Linked DNA regions of Drosophila melanogaster. The protein of the gene in region 2 interacts with the protein of the main gene of each other region in a biochemical or structural test. Each region holds a gene or a part of one and is shown on either strand. Other genes may lie near its edges. The genes, in order: DIP-zeta, dpr14 and DIP-epsilon.

Region 1 (5,543 bases), on a different chromosome or scaffold from region 2:
TGCAGCTGTCAGATAAAACGAGGGGATGCATCAAGGGGAGATGCAGCAAAGTGCATGCCAGCTTGAGTGTGAAAATTGCTGGAAAAATGAATGCATGCTTATGGGGAGTTGGTTTTAAATCCATTCCATTTTCGCCTCCGCTGGGAAAATGGAAATGCGACGTCAGCCTGCGGTTTTTTCAACCCTCAAAATTACGTGATGTTATTACGTTTGTTGGCCATAAAAGGGTCTACAAATCTCCGCCCATTAAACTTTCGATTCTCATCTTTAATCTTGTTTTATTACTCGGTCGGATTTTCGTACATGTATTGTTTTGTTTCCTAAACTCAAATATCCCAAATATAAATCTTACCAGACAAGCCGGGGCAAAACTTTGCCGATAGTATTCCCCAAACTATTTTACCTCATTTGGGCAGTCCTTAGCAGAGAGACTAGACTGCAGGGCATACTTAACCAAAGTCGCAGACAAACTGCAAAAGAAATTGTGAATATATCTACACAGGAAAACAGGAACCAAACTTTCCATTTTCAATTTGCTGCAGACTTTGGCTAAGTACCAGAGAAGGAGGTCCAATATTTCCGACCGGTTTTGTATACTTTTTTTCCATTTTGTTTAGCTCTGTCTACTTAAACTCGCATTGAACTGGAAGAATAACATTGAACAGCAAACAATCAGCAGTCAAAAATTTCATTGTTAAGGCGGCAGCGGGAAAAAATAGCAAAACAAGTAGAGGGGAAAAACAGGAAACTTTCGGACAAGGCGTGAAAAATACAAAAAGACTGGGAAAGAGAGAAAAAAACTTTTTCCATGGTGAGAAAAACTTTACAAAGCAGCCAACAAAGTGTTGTAATGGCTGGCATCCAAAGGGATCCCCCGTCCAACGCTTGACTTTTGACCCAACGAAGCGAATGTGTTGCAACGACCTTTGTGGCCTTTCCGCCTCCGCCTCCTCATTCGCCATCACCTAATCCACCCGCTCCACCCACTCTTCCTGTTTTGGTCACATCCTGGCGCAACAGTCGACCACGCCCACTCGCCGCCCTATCACCTCTGGGATTCCCCCCACAATGAACTTGCCAAGCGATGGTGCACGTTTCTCCTTGGGTGTGTGGTGTGTAGAGGAATCCCAGGGAGAGGGTCACAGAGCAGTCATCTTGTCTGCCGTCTAGCCTTGTCAGTTTTAATGTTTTTGGCATTGAGCGATGTCTGTGATTTGAAAGAGTTCATTAAGATAGTTCAGTATGGCCAACAGGGAGAATTCATCACTCTCATATCGCATACAATCCGTCTATATATAGACTAACTTTCAGACGGATATGCATCGTTTTTTTTTCCTTCTGCACAACTGACCAGTGCTTGTCGAGATGATTACAGTGCCCTTAAAACAAGGTCTAGTTAAAAAATAGCAAAACTTTTTTCGTGCACCTAATTTAATAGGATAAAATCATCATGAAATACTTCAAAAAATAAGTAACTAAAAATATTATCTGTCTAACCATTCAAAAATACCACTGTTAACTTTGAAAAGAACTTCTTAATTAACCGTCTACCAACTGACAACCAGCTTTGCTAGCTCAGTCAGTCATAAAACGCAATTATCACCCTCAATTAGATGGTCCTGCATCAGCGAAAATCGAATAAGCAACGCTTGCAAATTGAATATCTCAAATTAATTGCACTTTTTTCGCTCAACATACGCACATGGACTTGAAATGAAATGCAAATAAATTTAATTAACTTGTCTAATTAAATACTTGGCTCCAAATAGCAATATGCAGCAACCAACGGAAAGCAAAAATGTGTTTTGATTTTGTTTTCATTTTATCTTAATTCAATTATTATTAAAAGGGTACAGCTTCAGCCGGAACGAGCCAAAAAGGTTCGACGGCGGAATCGGCATGCAACTCGAACTTTGAGAGGTGATTTTGGGGCATGGTGTTGCAGGTTGGACTCTGTTAACATTTTTGTCGCGTGTTTTGCGGTCTGTTGTTGTGGTTGCGGTTGCACGCAAACAACAAGCCTCCGAACATAACAAGGATACCGGACATAACCAGCAACCGGCAGCAACAACTACCAATGAACAGCATCCAGCGTCCTTTGGTTGGCTTAAACCGAAGCTACACTTCGGCTCGCTCTGTCGGCCGTCGGCTCGTCCCCGCCTGTTATCACTCGGCCAACGCGGCGTATACGTAACAGCACTTCCCATTCGTTAGATTTTCCCTTATTGTTGTTGGTGGAAAGCCAGAGCCCGGCTCTGTGCGAGCATTAGGTTTCGTCGGCAAATCAGTTTCGCTACGGATTCTGCACGAAGCGGACGCGTTTTATCGGTGTTACACTGAAAGATCCCCGGCAAAGGGAAAGTCGTACTCAAGTGTCATGTGATCGATGCCAAATTAGAAGCACCTGACTCAATGTGATCGTGTTGAGAAATGACTTAAAAGTCGAGCTAAAAAACTTAGGTCCACTTGATTATAAAATTTAAAAAAATACCAAAACTTGTAAGCGTTTTATTGAAAGATTACAATTTGTAAAAGTGGTTGAAAACTTGGTATATCATACGTAACACAAAACTAACCTACAGAATTAAATATTCACAAAAATATTCTTGTAGTTACAGTATGTAAATTAATTATTTCAATACATGCAATTCATACTATTAAGGTCTTAAACAGAAGAACAATTTGATCATCGGAAAAGTCTTTTTTATTAATAATTCATAGAATAGAATAGAAACTTTATAAAAATATGGAATTTTAAATTTAACAAACTTTAGATATTATTTATAAATATCAGTGACAGAAGTATATTAAATCGAAAGTTCCAACAATTTTTAAAAGTGCGAGTGCCGGTTAGGATAAGTAATTATAAGCTATGTTAAAAATTGAAAATGCAATAAGGAGTTGGTTTAATGCGTTTGTTTCGTTACGCTATATATTATATTTATGTATAAAATCTTAATTACAATATATAATGTAAAAGGTTTATGTTTGGGACTGCAGATCATTCAAATGCAATTAAAGACTTCGATTTATCTTAGTGCGAGTATTTCAAATAACTGAACTCCATTTAATGGTTAACCACAGCTACAATCCAGACCACAAACTCACATGTCACTTGTCAGGCCCTCGAAATGGGTAAACAATTAACAGTTAACTCTGCTAATGCACATTTCATGCCAACAAAAAGTAAACAAACAGCGAGACTATCTCCAGGACCCTCGAAGTCCTTAAATCCCGAAAACTGGCAGACACGCACACAACGCCATTCTTCAATCTGTGAAAAATTCCCAAACAAACTTATATGCGAATAAATGAATCCACTAGAGTTCACTTTGGGACAACTCGCAAAAAAAATAGTCGAAGGGGAAATTTGTTGCGATTGATAAAGGACAGCAGTTGTTGCCACTGCAACGCAATGCACAACACACAAACACAACCGAAAACAGCAAGGCAAATATAAACAAAGAATTTAGCTTAAAAATACATTAACCCACTGCATCCATGAGAATCAGGATATGCAGGGAAAAGGGCCAGGACCCGACTGCCAACTGCTGAAAACTTGCATACTTAATGGAGTAGGAGATAGAGACAGACAACGCAGAGAGTACAGTGGGGCCTATGTGTTACTGGACACAACTGTATTCCAAATGCAGAATAAGTCTTTGAGTATGAATATTGTCAAAGCTCATTGTAAACGTTTCTTAGCATTTTGTTACAATTTATTAAAAAAAAAAAATATTAAAGAGAAATATTTAATTACAGTATACAACATTGGAAACTAATAGAAATTGTTGTAAAAATACTTTACATAATTTATTCAATATACCAAGACTTAGAATGGATCCACCACTAATATCAATATATCGGTTCTTATGGTCCAAATATTTTAATTCCATTTAATATATAATTAAGATTTAAATTATTTCATATTTATAACATATGTGAAATGATTCATTTTGTTGGGTATCCACTGTACAATGGTATGTTTTGCATTCAGGCATCATTGCAGATCAATGGCAATATGGAGCTGATACAGTTTGAGTAAGACACGTAAACACACAGAGCAGAAGAAGGATGGGAAACTCATGGATGTCAGCTGTTTCAGAACTTTTTTCAAAAGCTAGTGAAGAGAGGGCTTATTGGTTCTTTATTTATTTCCATCTTTTTTGAATTCTTTTTTGAGTTCAGCTTTGTTGCGTTTTGTTTGCTCGAGTTCGGTTTGACGTTTGCAGTTACAGGAACTTTACAAATTGTGTAGAGTAAAACAAACAAAATAGCAAAACTTTGATGCTGCTGATGATGATGTCGAAAATATGTGTGAGCTTTGATCATAAGTGCATATTTATTGGTGCGTTTATTTGGTAAATTTAGTTTCTATATTGCACTTCTGAAAATATAATAGAGTACTTTATCCAGATAAAATCAGAGTTAAATTGAGTCTAGTTAAGCTTGTATTATCCGAATAAATAGTAACGTGAACTAACGAATTTTCGATAAGGGAGAGATGTAAGTCCTTAAATAAAACCAAATTAAATCGGAATTTTATTTTCATGTATTTGTATTGTTTGCTGCCAAAATATAAGTGATAGGTAACAGGCACAACCTTTCTAGCTTGCTTCTTCTTTGAAGAACCTTTTAATGTAAATAAATTCGGCCATAGGTAAACATATCTTAATTCAATTTCGGCCTCCTTTGTGCTGCTTTCTTTTCTCCCTTCAATTACCACAAAACCATGAAGGTTAAAAGCTGTCAGGCATTTATAGAAGCTTAGGAGAAATCCCCTGAGAGCTAGGAACATTTTTTTTGGGCTAATGACTATGTCAGGATTAATTTACGTTTACACAGAATCTTTTAAAAAGAAAATTTAAACACCCAATAAAAAATATTATAATGGCTATGAACTTAGTCAGCATAAACAAATAAATGTTATTGTCTCTTTCATCTACGCACCCGTTTAGTTAAGTCCCTTTAATCCCGCAACAATTATAAGCCAATTTGTTTTACCAAAAAGTTATCATTATAAAAACAGCAAAAACCAAACAAACACTAAATAGCCCCATTAAAATTTAATTTCCTAGCATAAAAATACAAGAAAAACACATTCGGAACAAGTTTCTCCCTCAACAATTTATTAATTTAATTACAAACACTTTGCCAAACTCATAAAAAAGTGCATAAAATTTGTTGGACTTCTTGTTCTTGTTTCTGATGGTAAATCTGTTTCGGTCCATACCAAAAAAGCTTTATCATGTGTGCGTGGTTTTTGGGGGAAGAGGTGGAGTCAAAATTGCTTAATTTCATAAGCGAGTCATAAGGGAAAAAGTTTTGTCTCTGTGTAAGTGTTTCGCAAGCTGCGTGTGGACCCCCTAAATAGCTGAAGGCGACACGCTCAAAAGCCATAAAAAATACAATTTTTAAGAGAAAGTTTTGAATGAGATGGCCAAGAAACAGCAACCAGAGTAGAGGACTGCGCGTGACACAACTATATTTCAAAGACCTATGAATTTAAACTACAATATCAGACACATATCGACATGTCCAAT
Region 2 (7,762 bases):
AATGGTGCTTTGGAATGGGAACACTGAACGTTTCTACCTAAAGCAGGAGTTTCAAAGACGAGTAACCCGTAGATTTTAAGAACAGGAAGTCATTTAAGTGTACTAAGCGTGTATATGAATAGAAATTGGGTGTGAACATTGAACCATTTTCTGTGCGTTCGACGCACGCCGAATGCTAATTTGGCACAAGCTTCGATCGGGGCCCTGTGCTCCACTCTATAAAGTAATTGCCATTCAGGGGACACGTGTTCCCTATAGCTTCTAGCTTCGTTTGCTCCAAGTCTGTGTATTACAAAATAAAACTGGCAAAAAAAAAAAAAAATTACCACAAAAGGTAGAAAAATCAACTGCGATTGCACTTTGTAAAAATAAATAACGAAAAGTACAAATGTAGCGATTTGCAGTCAAGCAAACACTATTAGGGACTGTTTGCGACTGGACTGTTGACTGAAGATCGATTTCAAAGTGCAGATTCACTTGGCTAATGCATTGGCGACCGCTAAACCAATGTCCAAGTCATCGTGGGCGACACTCAATTCGGTAATTAGTAATTACTAATTGCTCATTATTACTATCGTTTTTTGTTTGTTTGTTTGCTTGACCCGTTTCCCATTTTACTATAATCATCGGTCGAGCTTGGACGGACTTTGCTTGCGCTGGTCAAGATTGGGGCAGCCCTTCCATGTCATCTTTGTGTACATACCTCCTTGGCGTAGGCCTTGCCAATTCCATCGGTCGACCCGGTGACAACTGAAAGTCGAAAAAGTTAGCCAATAGTTCTGTGGGTTATCAGTGGATTTATGGGGCGTGGGGAACGATCTTATCGGTCACAGTGAAAAAAGTACTGAACTCCATTTTGGAAAGATATATAGTGTATTCCTTTAGGCAGTTAATGCAAAATTGGAAAACTTGAAAGTAGAGTGTTTGCAATTTGGAAATTCCCTTTCTTCACAATTTAATTGTAAAAGGGTCTTTAATCTTTTTAACTACACTTCTTTAGCAAACTTGCTATTCATTTTTTCACTGTGCACTCGGAATCGACCCCGTTTCCGCTCCTTTCCGGCATGTTTTTCCATGGCAACCGACTCACCTGCCCACTCGCCCATTTTGGAGAGATCCACCGAGGAGCCAAAGACCTTGGGGCCAACAACATTGGCGTAAATCCAGGGCAGGACCTTCCGGAAGACCTGGAAGCCCACGATTCCGATGGCCAGACCGCCCAGCAGGCTCAGCACTTGCGAGTTGTTCTCCTCCATGATGTTGATGATGGAGATTAGTGGTTCCTGGTTCCTGGTACTCCTAGGCAATGGTACCTATTGTATGTACTATATGGTGCGATTGCGATCGGTCGACTGCTATAGCCTCTGCCGGCTGATTAGTTTCTGATTCTACGATTTTCGAGCTGCAATGCCGAAATGGAAATGCTGACGCCGCTGCTTTTTTTTCGCCTCTGCCGACTGCGCTGCCTTTTCGAACTGTATTTGTGGTGTGTTGTAGTAATTCTACACACACACACACCCTTCGAAATCGCCACTGATTTTCGATTACTCGATTTATGTACGCGTGTTTTTTGCCTGATTTGTATTCCAAATGCGTTTTCTTTGAAAGGAGAAACTTAGGGTAGAAGGGGGAAAATAAAAACAAATGGAAAAAGCGATTGAATGTCAATTGTCAACGGCACAAAAGCAAATGAACGGTTCTTTTTCGTATCCATGTGCCCCCCTCAGAGGGGTGTGTGTCTGTGTTGTGTGCCCACTTATGTCATTTCATAGCGCTCACGCACACCACCAAAAAGCGAAAGATAAGGGCGGCTGCAAACAGTGAGCGCAAAAATTTATCACACCAAGAACCGTTATGTTGCACTAGCTGATTTTAAAAGAGGGATGAAATGTAAATTCAGCAATAGTTTTCCGCCTAAGGGTTCACAGGTTCATTACCGTATATCCTTCTTTTACTAGTCTATTAATTAGTTTATTTAAAAGCGAAAAAAGCATGCATATGTATATCATAGGAGGGCAGTGTAAGTTCTATGCTCTCACCAATACACGCCAGAATGGGGCAATCACCGAAATAGTCTGACTAATTTCCTGCACATGCGCAGGAAGCAGAAAGTGCGATAAACAATTTAACGCAGCGAATGCTACAATTAAAGTCGTTAAATATTTTTGATGTTTCTGAGTAAAGCCCGCTATATTAACGGTAAATTATTGATGGAGCGAGATGGCTATAGCGGATCGCGTATGTGCGAGGGTAATCCTTTGCCTATCGATAAATATCGGTTACTTATCGAATTTCGAATTTGAAGCTTAATTTGACAGTAAAAGAATGGTAGTTTATCTGTATTTTTACTCTAGGCTCTTAACAATTAGTAAAATACAGGTATTTCTGAGCTCAATCGCCCGATTTATTTGCATGCCGAGCTATACGGATTCAAAGGACCTTGTTTGGTGGGTAGAAATCCCTGGATTGCAAGAATGCCGAGAGAGATGCTGGCCTTTCGGAGCGGATTCAGTGCCGAAGCAAGTGTGGGTGAGGGAACAACAACGCCGAAGGACCGGCAAAAGCAACTTTTATATTGTTAAATATTTATCAGAACCATCCGCCGAAAAGAGCTTTTTTCCTGGACAAATGCAAACAAAAGAAGAAAAGAAAAGTCTTTTTCTTTTTAAAACAATCTTGAAGATTGCATTATTTTGAGCTTGAGAGGTGAGTGGCGTCTGCTATTTGTTGTTGTTGCTCGGGTAGAGGGATTCCTTCGGATGAAATAATAGGGATGCGGATGCTGGCCATGCGCAGAGCATGCCCTGACCTACATTCCCGTTTATTGGCCATCCGAGCAGCAGTTGCAAAAGGATAAATACACACGCAACACGAGCTGGTTAATAAGCGCTTTTCCGATTTTCCAATTGTCCGACATTCCTATCCCTCCAGCCTCCATCCGCGCGCTGAAAAGTGTGCAAAGAAATCAACAAAAAAGAGAAAAAGAAAAAGTAAATATACATATATAATCGAAAAGGACACTCTGAAAAAGAAGATACTTGAGTGCAATATGTCCAGCAATATTTTGCCGCAGGGCAATCGATAAGCGAAGCGAAGTGAAGTCCGTGGAATCATCGCTGGCGATGCAGTGGGACGCTGATGCAGTTGGACTTGGATCGATATAGAACAGTTTAGAGGGGCGTTCGTTCATATGTGCATATCCTGCGGCGAGTGGCGCCAGTCGATGCATCATCCCGCATCCTGTTACCGTATCCCGTAAGTCGGCATATGAAGACACTCCGCTGCAGTGATGAGATCGAGGCTGTTTTGGATACTGGCGATTATATACTCCTCACTCCATCACATCGGCTCGGGTTCCACGTCGACCACATGTGAGTCTCCACCTCATGCCTTAATCACATTGCAAACTTTTACCCAACTCAAACTTTGGCACTTTTAAGCTGAAGATTAAGTTCTTTTGTTTACTTTGCGGATTACCCAAGTGAAAAATGATTATTTTTTTTTATGTAAAACAATTATTTTACTACTTAGTGTGCAAGCATTATTCGAAACGAAATTATTGTTTTATTTGAGTTTTTCTTTTATACGTGATTTTAGCTGAGTGCATTTTATTTTTATATATTATATGATTTTCATATATATTTTAACTATATCTATTGAAATTGTTTTTTTTCGAACTAGTGAAACGACCGCGAGCTGGCGATCCATTCGACACGTTTCCGAAGAACTTCTGGCAGGAGTTCTCATCGCCGTTCACCGACACGCCCGAGGATGAGGAGCTGGAGGTCACCGAGACGACCACCCACGAGCCGTTCCCGTTCTTCGCCGATCCGTACACCACGCTGAACATCAGCACCCAGCTCTCGTCCAGCGTTTATCTGCACTGCCGGGTGAACGATCTGCAGGGCAAGACGGTGTCCTGGATGCGTCGCCGTGGCGATGATCTCACCCTGATAACCTTTGGCCAGCACACATATAGCGGCGACTCGCGGTATTCGCTGGAGTTCGAGGAGCCCAACGATTGGAAGCTGCTCATCCAGTTCGCCAACGAGCGGGACGAGGGTCCCTACGAGTGCCAGGTGTCCTCGCATCCGCCGCTCGTCCTGCTCGTTTACCTTACTATAATTGGTGAGCAACTGCTGTCGGCTTGCCAAGCAAAACCTGCTGATCCATGCTGATCTCATTCGTTGTCCATCCGCAGTTCCTCACGTGGAGATACTCGACGAGCGGGGCTCGGCCACGCCGGAGAAGTACTACAAGGCTGGCAGCACCATCGAGCTGCAGTGCGTCATTTCGAAGATTCCGCATCCCTCCTCCTATATCACCTGGCGGCACGGACCGCGCCTGCTCAACTACGATACTAGTCGCGGAGGAATCAGGTAGGATTTGTCGTATATGGTCTTAATAATCGTAAGTTAATTACCATGCATTTGATATCATTTGCAGTGTCAAGACGGACATGCTGCCAGGACGAGCTCTGAGTCGCCTGTATATCGCCAATGCCAATCGCCAGGACACGGGCAACTACACCTGCATGCTGGGCAATGAGATTACGGAGACGGTGGTGGTGCATGTGCTGAACGGTAAGTGTGCAAACTCCCCTTGGCTATTCATATAGAATCCGGAATTCCAGGTGAGGAGCCAGCCGCCATGCAGCATGCGAACGGAAGCCGCCAAAAGGCCAACGCCTCCACAATGGTTGTGTTATTTCTAGTGTACGTTTGCATCTCCGGTTCGATTTCCGTAGCCGGAATGAATCGGGGATTGGGCTTGGGACAAGTGTGGGGATGGGGATGGGAATTAAGACGATGACGACGCAGCCTAATCCGGGGATCGTAGATCCTAGATTGTGTCGCGGGAAATGCATATACCAAAAGAGTCTTGTCCAGGATTGCATTTTCGACTTTTACTCTAATCATGGGTTGTTTAACATACGATACATAGCATAAACCGAATATTAAGCTTAAGGTCAAGTGTATTTAAAAAGAAAAAAAAAGGCGGAAATCGAAAGCTCGAAAGCAAAACCAAACAAACCAAAAAAAAGAAAACGGAAATGAAAGTGAAATGAAAAACTCGTACTAGTAAGGGCGTACGCGAAATATAGATGAGATATTGATTTTTAGCGCTAGAACATAACATTATTAGTATCATAATCGAATCGAATTGTACTACCAAACGGCCGTGTTTATGTTGGCTAACATATTGATCTTATATACAAACATGCACATTATTGCATCTAACGTATCCATTTAGCTCTTTGTTACCTCCACGTCATTATGGATATATGTACATGCATGCATACCTAGATTTGTAAGGTCCAAAGTTTAAAGCATAATTTTTTCTCACTCGGACGGATCGCCTTCCAAAGGTCGCGCATCACCGAAATATTAATATTTCCACAACGCTCGTGTGTATTCTATATCCCGATTAACGTATAGTATACACCTCCGATCCAAGGCCTTGTTAATGAAAATATGGTTGTAGCTTCTTGAAATCAAACAGCATATCAGTTGGGATCATTCTAATCGTAATCAATAATAATCAATACCGAACAAAATCGTACTTCATTTATCCCTAATTTTCAGTCCTTGATTTTTTTTTCGTCCTTGTCCATGTCCTTGTCTCAGATTTTTTGAATACTTAAGTGCATCGATAACTGGAGGAGAGCTAGAGAGGTTGTTAAATTATTAAATAATTCGAAACATTATATGTGCGTGAGCTTGATCAGTAGTTGGGTTTTCCTCAGTTTATCCACGATCTAGAAATGTAAATGAGAAACACTTAGGAAATGTTTAACGTTAACAAAACTGTGCCATTCAAAATGGATACATATCGTTTAATTGTTGTTAATTCGGTTGCGGAACCAATGACCATTTGAGGCAAAACCAATTAATTGTATATTTGTATCTTTTTCAAGTCGAAAACACAACACAACTCGGACCAATGGGTAAATACTTGATTCTTTGATTGAAAACGGTCCCTAAAAACCAAAATCAAAATCGAAATTGAAATCGAAAACCAAAACCGTAATCCCTAAAAGTAATTCAATTAAACGAAATAAATCACGATCAAGAACAAGAAGCAAATGAATACTTGCCACTTTCATTTCTCGAATTGGGCGTAAGGTGCGGACCCTTCATTCGGTATGCACATAGCCAATGCTCACTGTACCCTTCCCCCACATGCGAGTATATCAGTTTATGTCTAAGGCTTTAGCTTTCGCTTCAAACGATCATCGCCTATGTATTTAAAGCCCCGAAAAACTTTCGATATCCTTACTCACTGACGGCATTCCAAATTCATATTGCTTTTAAGATCGGTTATTATATACAAACATACCCACGCTCTCTTTACAAATTGTATTTCGAAATCAAAGCTCAGCTTGAAAACACACAAAAAAAAAAACGGAAAAAAACAGAAGTAAGCAAATTTAAGAAACGAAATTATTGATAAGGCTTGAGGCCTAAGTACTTGGGTAAACTAATTTCAAATGGTCCAGTGTAGTTATTGTAAATTATTCAAATTGATCCCGACCCGAATCGGTCCTTGGAGTATGCCCTTAAATAACACAAATGAAAAACAGAACAGAATAAAACAAAACAAAACAAAACAAGACAAATGTTGGAGTGAGATAACGAAACAATACTTAGAGACTAATAAAAAGTGACGAAACGAAACTTTTAGAAAGATTTTGGTTACAGAATTATATTTAATAATTACTACATTTAAAATTGAGATTATAAAACTACATACATACATAATGTATAACGCGGGCGTCTGGTCAATATGGCCGATGCGACTGCGACGGCGCCAAAAGATACCGTCATTGTCAAGCAAAAAACCAAAAGCAACTAAAACTTAATGCAAAATTGTATAAAAAAAAAACCACACACAAACACACACATTTGTTTTTTCTATTAAAACATTCAAAACATCTGAAGTGGCTTTCATTTTCCCACAGAATAAACATCTGCATTTGATTTTCACTGCATATGTAGGTATATTTACATATTTAACGACTATCCGATATTAAATAGTAAAACAATATCATCTTAAAGTTATCCTTAATTTACACCGCCTCAGCCCTCGTACTCCACATCGGCATCTGTGTACATCTTGGCTGGCTGCCCAGCCAGGCCATTATCCGTCTCCATCATTTCCACATCGCGACAACTGGCCGCCTGGAGCTCCCTTCTCACATCGGGTGTAATCTTGAAATGGCTCTTCTTTCTGCAATTGTGATTTACAGTTACTAACAGTTCTAGGGTTTCAATAGCATTCGATTTACTTACTTGAGCAGCTGCAGCAGTGCATCCCGCTGTTCGGAGGATATATCGTTCTTGTATCGCTGGGCAAAGGTGAGCAGGCTCTGGTGCCATAGCACTGGTAACTCACGCTTGTCGTTCTCGAATCTGCAAGAAACCATGTTATTTCGATTTCTAAAAGGCATTGTAGTGAGAATACCAACCTTAGAAAATGAAAGACTGCGGCATCCACGACGCGATAAGGCAGAGCATACCGCTTGTCCAGAAAGTAACGGATGAATATGGAGTTAGCTCCCGAATAGGCCATCTCACAGATCTTCAGCAGGCAGGCGGAGGAGTGCAGGACGGGAATAGAGCTGCGGGCCACCACACTGCCGAAAATGATGGCCTCGCGCAATGTGCAATCGCCGCCCTCGAGCAGCGGCAGAATGATTCCCTTCATGAAGGCAGCCGGCTTGAAGAGAGCCCTCTTCAGTGCATTGTACAGATGCATATTG
Region 3 (5,610 bases), on a different chromosome or scaffold from region 2:
TATAATTTTAAACAGAATTTTTTGGTTTTCCTTTCGTGATACAATAAGTATAATTATAATAAAGGACATAACATTAATTTCCTAAATATTATTTTTACTCACCATTATTTAGGGTTGAGCCACCGACGTTACCGGCGTTGCCTTCACTTCCAGTATCTGTACTTAGTGCCACAGAGGAGGCAATCAGGCAACCAAGGCCCACATACAGAAACGAAGAAATCGCTTCGAGGTGGTATGCCATTTTGCTGTAAGTTTGATGCCCCTTTTTTTTACCGTTGTTTAGCTTTTCAATTAAGAAAACTTAATTATTTATTGCGTACAAATATTGTGCAGCATTACAGTATATTCCGGCTCATGTTGTGTTTGCTTTTGGAATCGATCAACGTTTAATTGCGATTGGCTTTTATGCACGCTACCCCTGAAATATGAGGAGAAATTATAGGTTGCCATTATTGATGAAAATATTAATAAAAAAAAGAAATTATACATGGCTTCATGCTTTTAGGCTTAAGTGTACATTTAATTTGTCATTGCTCAATTTTCCATTTACCGCAAGGAATGAGACCTGTTTTCGTGTTACACGGCTATCCCATACCCTTTACACGGCTTATTGATTACAACCGTACTTAATCATATCTTATAAACTTTAATCTAAGCTTTCAAATTTATAATAGTTGAAGAGATTTTGTATATCATACATACGGACAGACGAGCGGACACACCATTTTTTATGCTTAAGATTTTTATGAGCCATTTTAACCAGACCCACACCTGGCTTGCATCTTTTTCACGGATTAAGGAGTTTTCAATAAAGAGGATCAGCATTAGGAAGATATCAGAGCAGTGACGAACCCTAAGTCTCCGAACGACCTCAAATCCGTTCAAATGCCAGGGACAACGTTATCGTCACCATCAGAATTATCAGCTTCCTTTTCGTGGTTGTTTTGCTGCATGCATGCATAGAAGAATTTTTTCCTTGTTTTTAATTCCTGCTCGTGTCATAAGCGAAAAGCAATTTGCTCTGTCAGCTGTTGTTTTACACTCCGGCTACGGCAGTCAAGTAAACCCATGGAGGTCCTTCCAGTCTCGTCAATTTCTTCATTCTATTGCAATATGAATGCATTTCAATTAGAATGCCTCCTTGGGGACAGCTGTTGTGGATTTTCCATTAAGTAAGGGTTATTGAAACCGAATTGCAAACTTAATTGATTTCTAAGCCGGCCGACTTAACATTCATTTTGGTTGTGATATCTAAACAAAGATTTTGAACGTTATGCTGAGGAAGATTTTAGTGAACCATTGACATCTTATAAGATTCAATTTTGTTTCTTATAAAATGTGTTTTTTAGATTTAAGCGTTAATGACCCAAAGTTCACCTGATTGATAAGCAACCAACTGATGGTCAAAAATATATGTATTATTGTATGAATGACATAAATACGTGATAGTTTGGTACACCAAAATGTATTGTCTGGTGTATTTTCACGCGACGACGATTGTTGCATCCATAGAACTAACCGCGAAATGTAAATGGACCGTGAATTCGTAATGCATTTAAATCATTGTAAACAGCAATGTTTGTGCCCCGCAGACAGAAAGGATATTTCCCACATCTTCGAAGTGATGTAGCCGCATGATGAAAAGGAGCCAGCGGTGAATGCTCCGCCGGTCTGACTTCTGCTCTGTCTTTCCGTCTCCTAGGGAGCATTTACTCGCTTTTGCATAATAAATCAATTTACATTTCCTTTCACACGCAAAAATGAATAACGAATAATAGCAACAAGCCCGTGGCGCAGAAATCTTCTATCGTATTCTTCGGGTAAAAGTACGTATAGCATGAGAAAGGAGTGCTTCCTTTCTGCACTATAATCACACCGAACCGAATCAATCAATCAAAATGAAATTAATTATTTAATTATAATTATTATTTCTTTTCTTTTCCACAGCACAGGGAATTCAACCAAGTGCTTGTGTCACCCAAAGGATTCGATCTTTAGAGCTAACTTTTTAATGACGATTGTGTTTATTTATTACTGAAGTGAACATAAAACTTCAATTTCACACTAACCGCAAACAGCGCATCGTAAATTCGTATTACCTCTTAAAACGATTTCATTCCACGGTATATTAATCTTTTCGATCGGACAATCATTGCAGATTTCTGCACGTTTGTTTACATATATAGTAGCCGGCTTTTGCACTTCGGTGCACATTGCCACCACGTAGACGGCCGTCAGGAAGATATATAAATATCTGAGTCAGACTGTGCCGCGGGAACTGGAAACGCACAATTTAAGTTGGAAATAAAGACAGAGGATGGTTTAATTTAAACAAGTAGATATTGGTCTTTACGAGGATGCCATTGGCCATGTAAATAATAATAATAATTTGCTACGCATTTAGTACTTAGTTTCATAAATGAAACAAAAAGAAAATTAAATTTGAAGTTAGATTTGCATACAATTCGCATTATTTTGAAAGCCGGCTAATGAAACATTCAAAGTGCAATCAATTGCCTGCACAGCTTCTCCCAGCAGATGTAAACCAATTCGGAAGGATCCTTTGTAAAAGATGCAGCTCCCTAAACAGGCCATCCTGCGAACTCACTATTCAATGATGCCCCATCTGCAACTTCGTTCTCCTCCATCCGATGTCGCCCTGCTTCCAGAAACTAATAACTCACCGTGGCAATGTCTGGCTGCTGGATGGGGCGTCAGATGTCGGCAGGAATCAGCAAATCAATTTATAAATAGAGCAGCGAGACAACATAACAACGGATTTTCATGTTTCCCTCTGCCGTTCTCCGTTTTTGCAACATAACTAAATTAGGGGACCACGCGGCAGACACACAGACGCCGTCACAAAGCCAGCAGCTCCTCCGGTGGGCAGCGGAGGTGCATAAATGGCATGGGATATCGAATAAAAGCACTCACAGCAGTTGATTTACAACAACCATTCGCCGCCACTAATGCCAATCGAAAATACTATTTTAAACTATTTGGCCAGTGCAAATAAGAAAGACCACGTCCACGCACGTCTAACGAAACCGATTCTGGTTCTGATACCGTTACCGATTCGGGTTCGGGATTCAAAAGCGATTGCGACTGCGACTGCGAATACTGATGCGGATGCGGTACCGCAGACTAACGACAACCGAACGAAACGACAGCCGATTTCACACTGGCAGCAGCATCCCGTCGTGCGATTCACTTCGGCTGCGGCATGTTAAAAAGATAAACAAATGTTGCGGTTGGCCGTGATTTATGTTAGCTTACATATGTTTATAGCCCTGGCTGCAGAGCCAAACAGCACTTTCTGCTACTAACAGCCCCGAAAACAGCGAACAATCAATCCAACGATCCGCCGAGTGTTTTAATGCACCACTCCACTATCCGTTCCGTCAGCTAATGCGGCGGGTTAAATTTTATGTTCATCATGTGAGAGAAAAAATGTGAGAAAAGCCAAAGGTCGCAGAATTTCCAGTATTAGTATGTGCATATGTGAGCTAAATAAAGAAACGTATTATTTCTTTCTGAACATAATAGAGCAGGGCGTATCACTTGTGTAAGCATTTTTGAGTTATCCCTCAAAACTCCCTCATCTGTCTTACAGTGAAAACATGTTTTTCATCTTCGCTAATCATTGAACATTTGTTACTTGGTCTTTGAGCGGGCATAATGGAATAATAGCTTAGCACTTTAACACATTTACAGCTAGGGACTGCAAACGCATTTCCAAGTTCTGTGACCATAAATGTCAGAGTTCAAAAGGCAAGACTTCTTTAGCTTGCTGTTAACATCGCTATCTTAAGAAGAGGATGCTGCAATACAAACTTCATTAAAGAGAAATTTATAAAAGAACTTGGTTTCTTTGCTCTACATTTCCCTTTATAACCCCTAACAAAGCTCACACAATTTGGTCCTACAAGCCTTAACATTTCCCATTTTACACCCCAAGCAAAGCTTCATCATGTCGGTCCTGCAATACCCTAACATTTCCCGTTATTACCCCTGATAAAGCTACTGCTAGTCGAAAGCGCTCCGTGCCGTGAATTTATTAACTTTGAGCGTCCGTCTAAGCTTTAAGTAGTGACGAAAGCTCCTGTCACAAGACGCTTTGCTCTCCTGTTGACTTTAGCCACTTGACAGCGCAAAACGCGAAAGCCACAACACTCAGTCGAAACAGCTGACTCTCAAAAGGTGGCCACCACCCACCACCCAACTGCTGCAGGGCCAAACAGAAACTCCGTCACTAGGCTTACGGAGCATTTAGCCAAGAAAGCGTGGGGGCGTCACCGTCACTCACTGACGTCGACGCACTCGGCGCATGAAAAACAGTTACGCTCTGTGCCGCGGAGTGTGTGGAGTTGCGTTGAAAGGGGCTCCGGAGTCCAAAAGGGTAATCGGAAAGCCCACGGGAAGGGGCCATCACCGCGGAGCCTTGACCCGAGCGTAATGAAATGTGGCGCCTGGCTGGCGAAAAAGTGACGTGAAATGCCAAGTGCAGCCGCATCGAAGCCAGCAAGGATCTTGTAGCAGCGACAGGAGCAGCCCCTTCTCCATGGGTTCATGCCTTGGCAGCTGTGCCACAGCTGCCGCCGCACCAGCCCACTCCGCCTGCACCTCAACGTCCGACTCCACCACCCACTCGACTTCCTCGACGTCGTCTTCACTGACAACTCCCCCCACGTCCTGGGTGGCCAACAGCTGGCTCTGGTGAGTGGGGCCAATTAGTTGAAGCTCAACTCCGCTGACTTTCGTTCGCGCGCAAATCCGCTGACCAATCAATAGTGGCTAAGCACGGGGTGGAATTGGCTAGTTGGGGGTCAACAGCCTAAAACTATGCAACGGCCGCTGGTTGCCACAAAACAATGTGCCACAGGCGGGCTTCCCGCCCAAGTGGGTGCTTACTGCAACCAAATACGTAAACAGTAAATACTAGTTATATGTGATATTCTTTAAGAGTTAACAAAAGCTTTTACTTTATAATAATTATTAAAAACATCTTTAATAAAAAGTGGTATCTTTCATCTTCTAGGCGAAAGAACAGATCTGCAGGAAGACAAGATCCAGAGGCAGATCTCTTATCGAGGACCACCAGGCAGCGCTGCCAACGGAACGGATTCATCTACCGCATCCTGCGGCTCAAGAAAAGGCAGCAGTGTCCCAGCTTCCTGGACAAGTACTGGGAGCAGCAGCCCAGCTACGCCAAGCTGCCGACCACGTATGTTAAGTCTCCTAAGGTGCCTCCTAGAAATAAAACCAACTTAATCCTTGCAGCGCCATGGCGGACATTCAAATGCAGAACCTGGACGCCGGCAAGTTGCTCAACGCCCAGACCACGCCCAGTCGGGAGACGGAGATGGGACTTGGAGCCTACCAGCGCATGGCCAACTCGCGGGCCAGCTCCTCCTTGGATCTCGAGTGGGAACACGAGTACTCACAGCTGCGGCAGTATCAGTACCAGTGCCAGCAGGTGCCCAAGGAGCTGCCACCAACGCCACCAAAGCCGCGCTACGCATCCTTAGACCAGCTGGCGGCAGCCAATGCGATGGCCACCAGCCAAGGACGACACATGGCGCGCCAAGCCAGACTGAGTTGCCAGCGCCA

The links.
Region 1: the proteins of dpr14 (region 2) and DIP-zeta form a complex in vitro, tested with the Drosophila melanogaster proteins (one study listed by BioGRID).
Region 3: the proteins of dpr14 (region 2) and DIP-epsilon form a complex in vitro, tested with the Drosophila melanogaster proteins (one study listed by BioGRID).

The regions. Positions count from the first base shown.
Region 1 is NT_033779.5:9,067,906-9,073,448, reverse strand, and holds the start of DIP-zeta (Dpr-interacting protein zeta), read left to right. Parts: upstream 1-2,284; 5' UTR 2,285-2,617; intron 2,618-5,543.
Region 2 is NC_004354.4:7,902,866-7,910,627, reverse strand, and holds dpr14 (defective proboscis extension response 14), read left to right. Parts: upstream 1-2,341; 5' UTR 2,342-2,529; intron 2,530-2,593; 5' UTR 2,594-2,706; intron 2,707-2,813; exon of another isoform or gene 2,814-2,931; 5' UTR 2,932-3,289; coding exon 3,290-3,371; intron 3,372-3,681; coding exon 3,682-4,128; intron 4,129-4,201; coding exon 4,202-4,379; intron 4,380-4,446; coding exon 4,447-4,583; intron 4,584-4,633; coding exon 4,634-4,812; 3' UTR 4,813-6,924; downstream 6,925-7,762. Other genes in the region: spidey, read right to left, coding at 704-750, 1,091-1,256; bys (by S6), read right to left, coding at 7,080-7,230, 7,293-7,412, 7,469-7,762.
Region 3 is NT_033779.5:6,408,143-6,413,752, forward strand, and holds the start of DIP-epsilon (Dpr-interacting protein epsilon), read right to left. Parts: upstream 3,185-5,610; 5' UTR 2,685-3,184; intron 419-2,684; 5' UTR 242-418; coding exon 103-241; intron 1-102. Other genes in the region: CG13982 (uncharacterized protein), read left to right, coding at 4,562-4,716, 5,039-5,224, 5,281-5,610.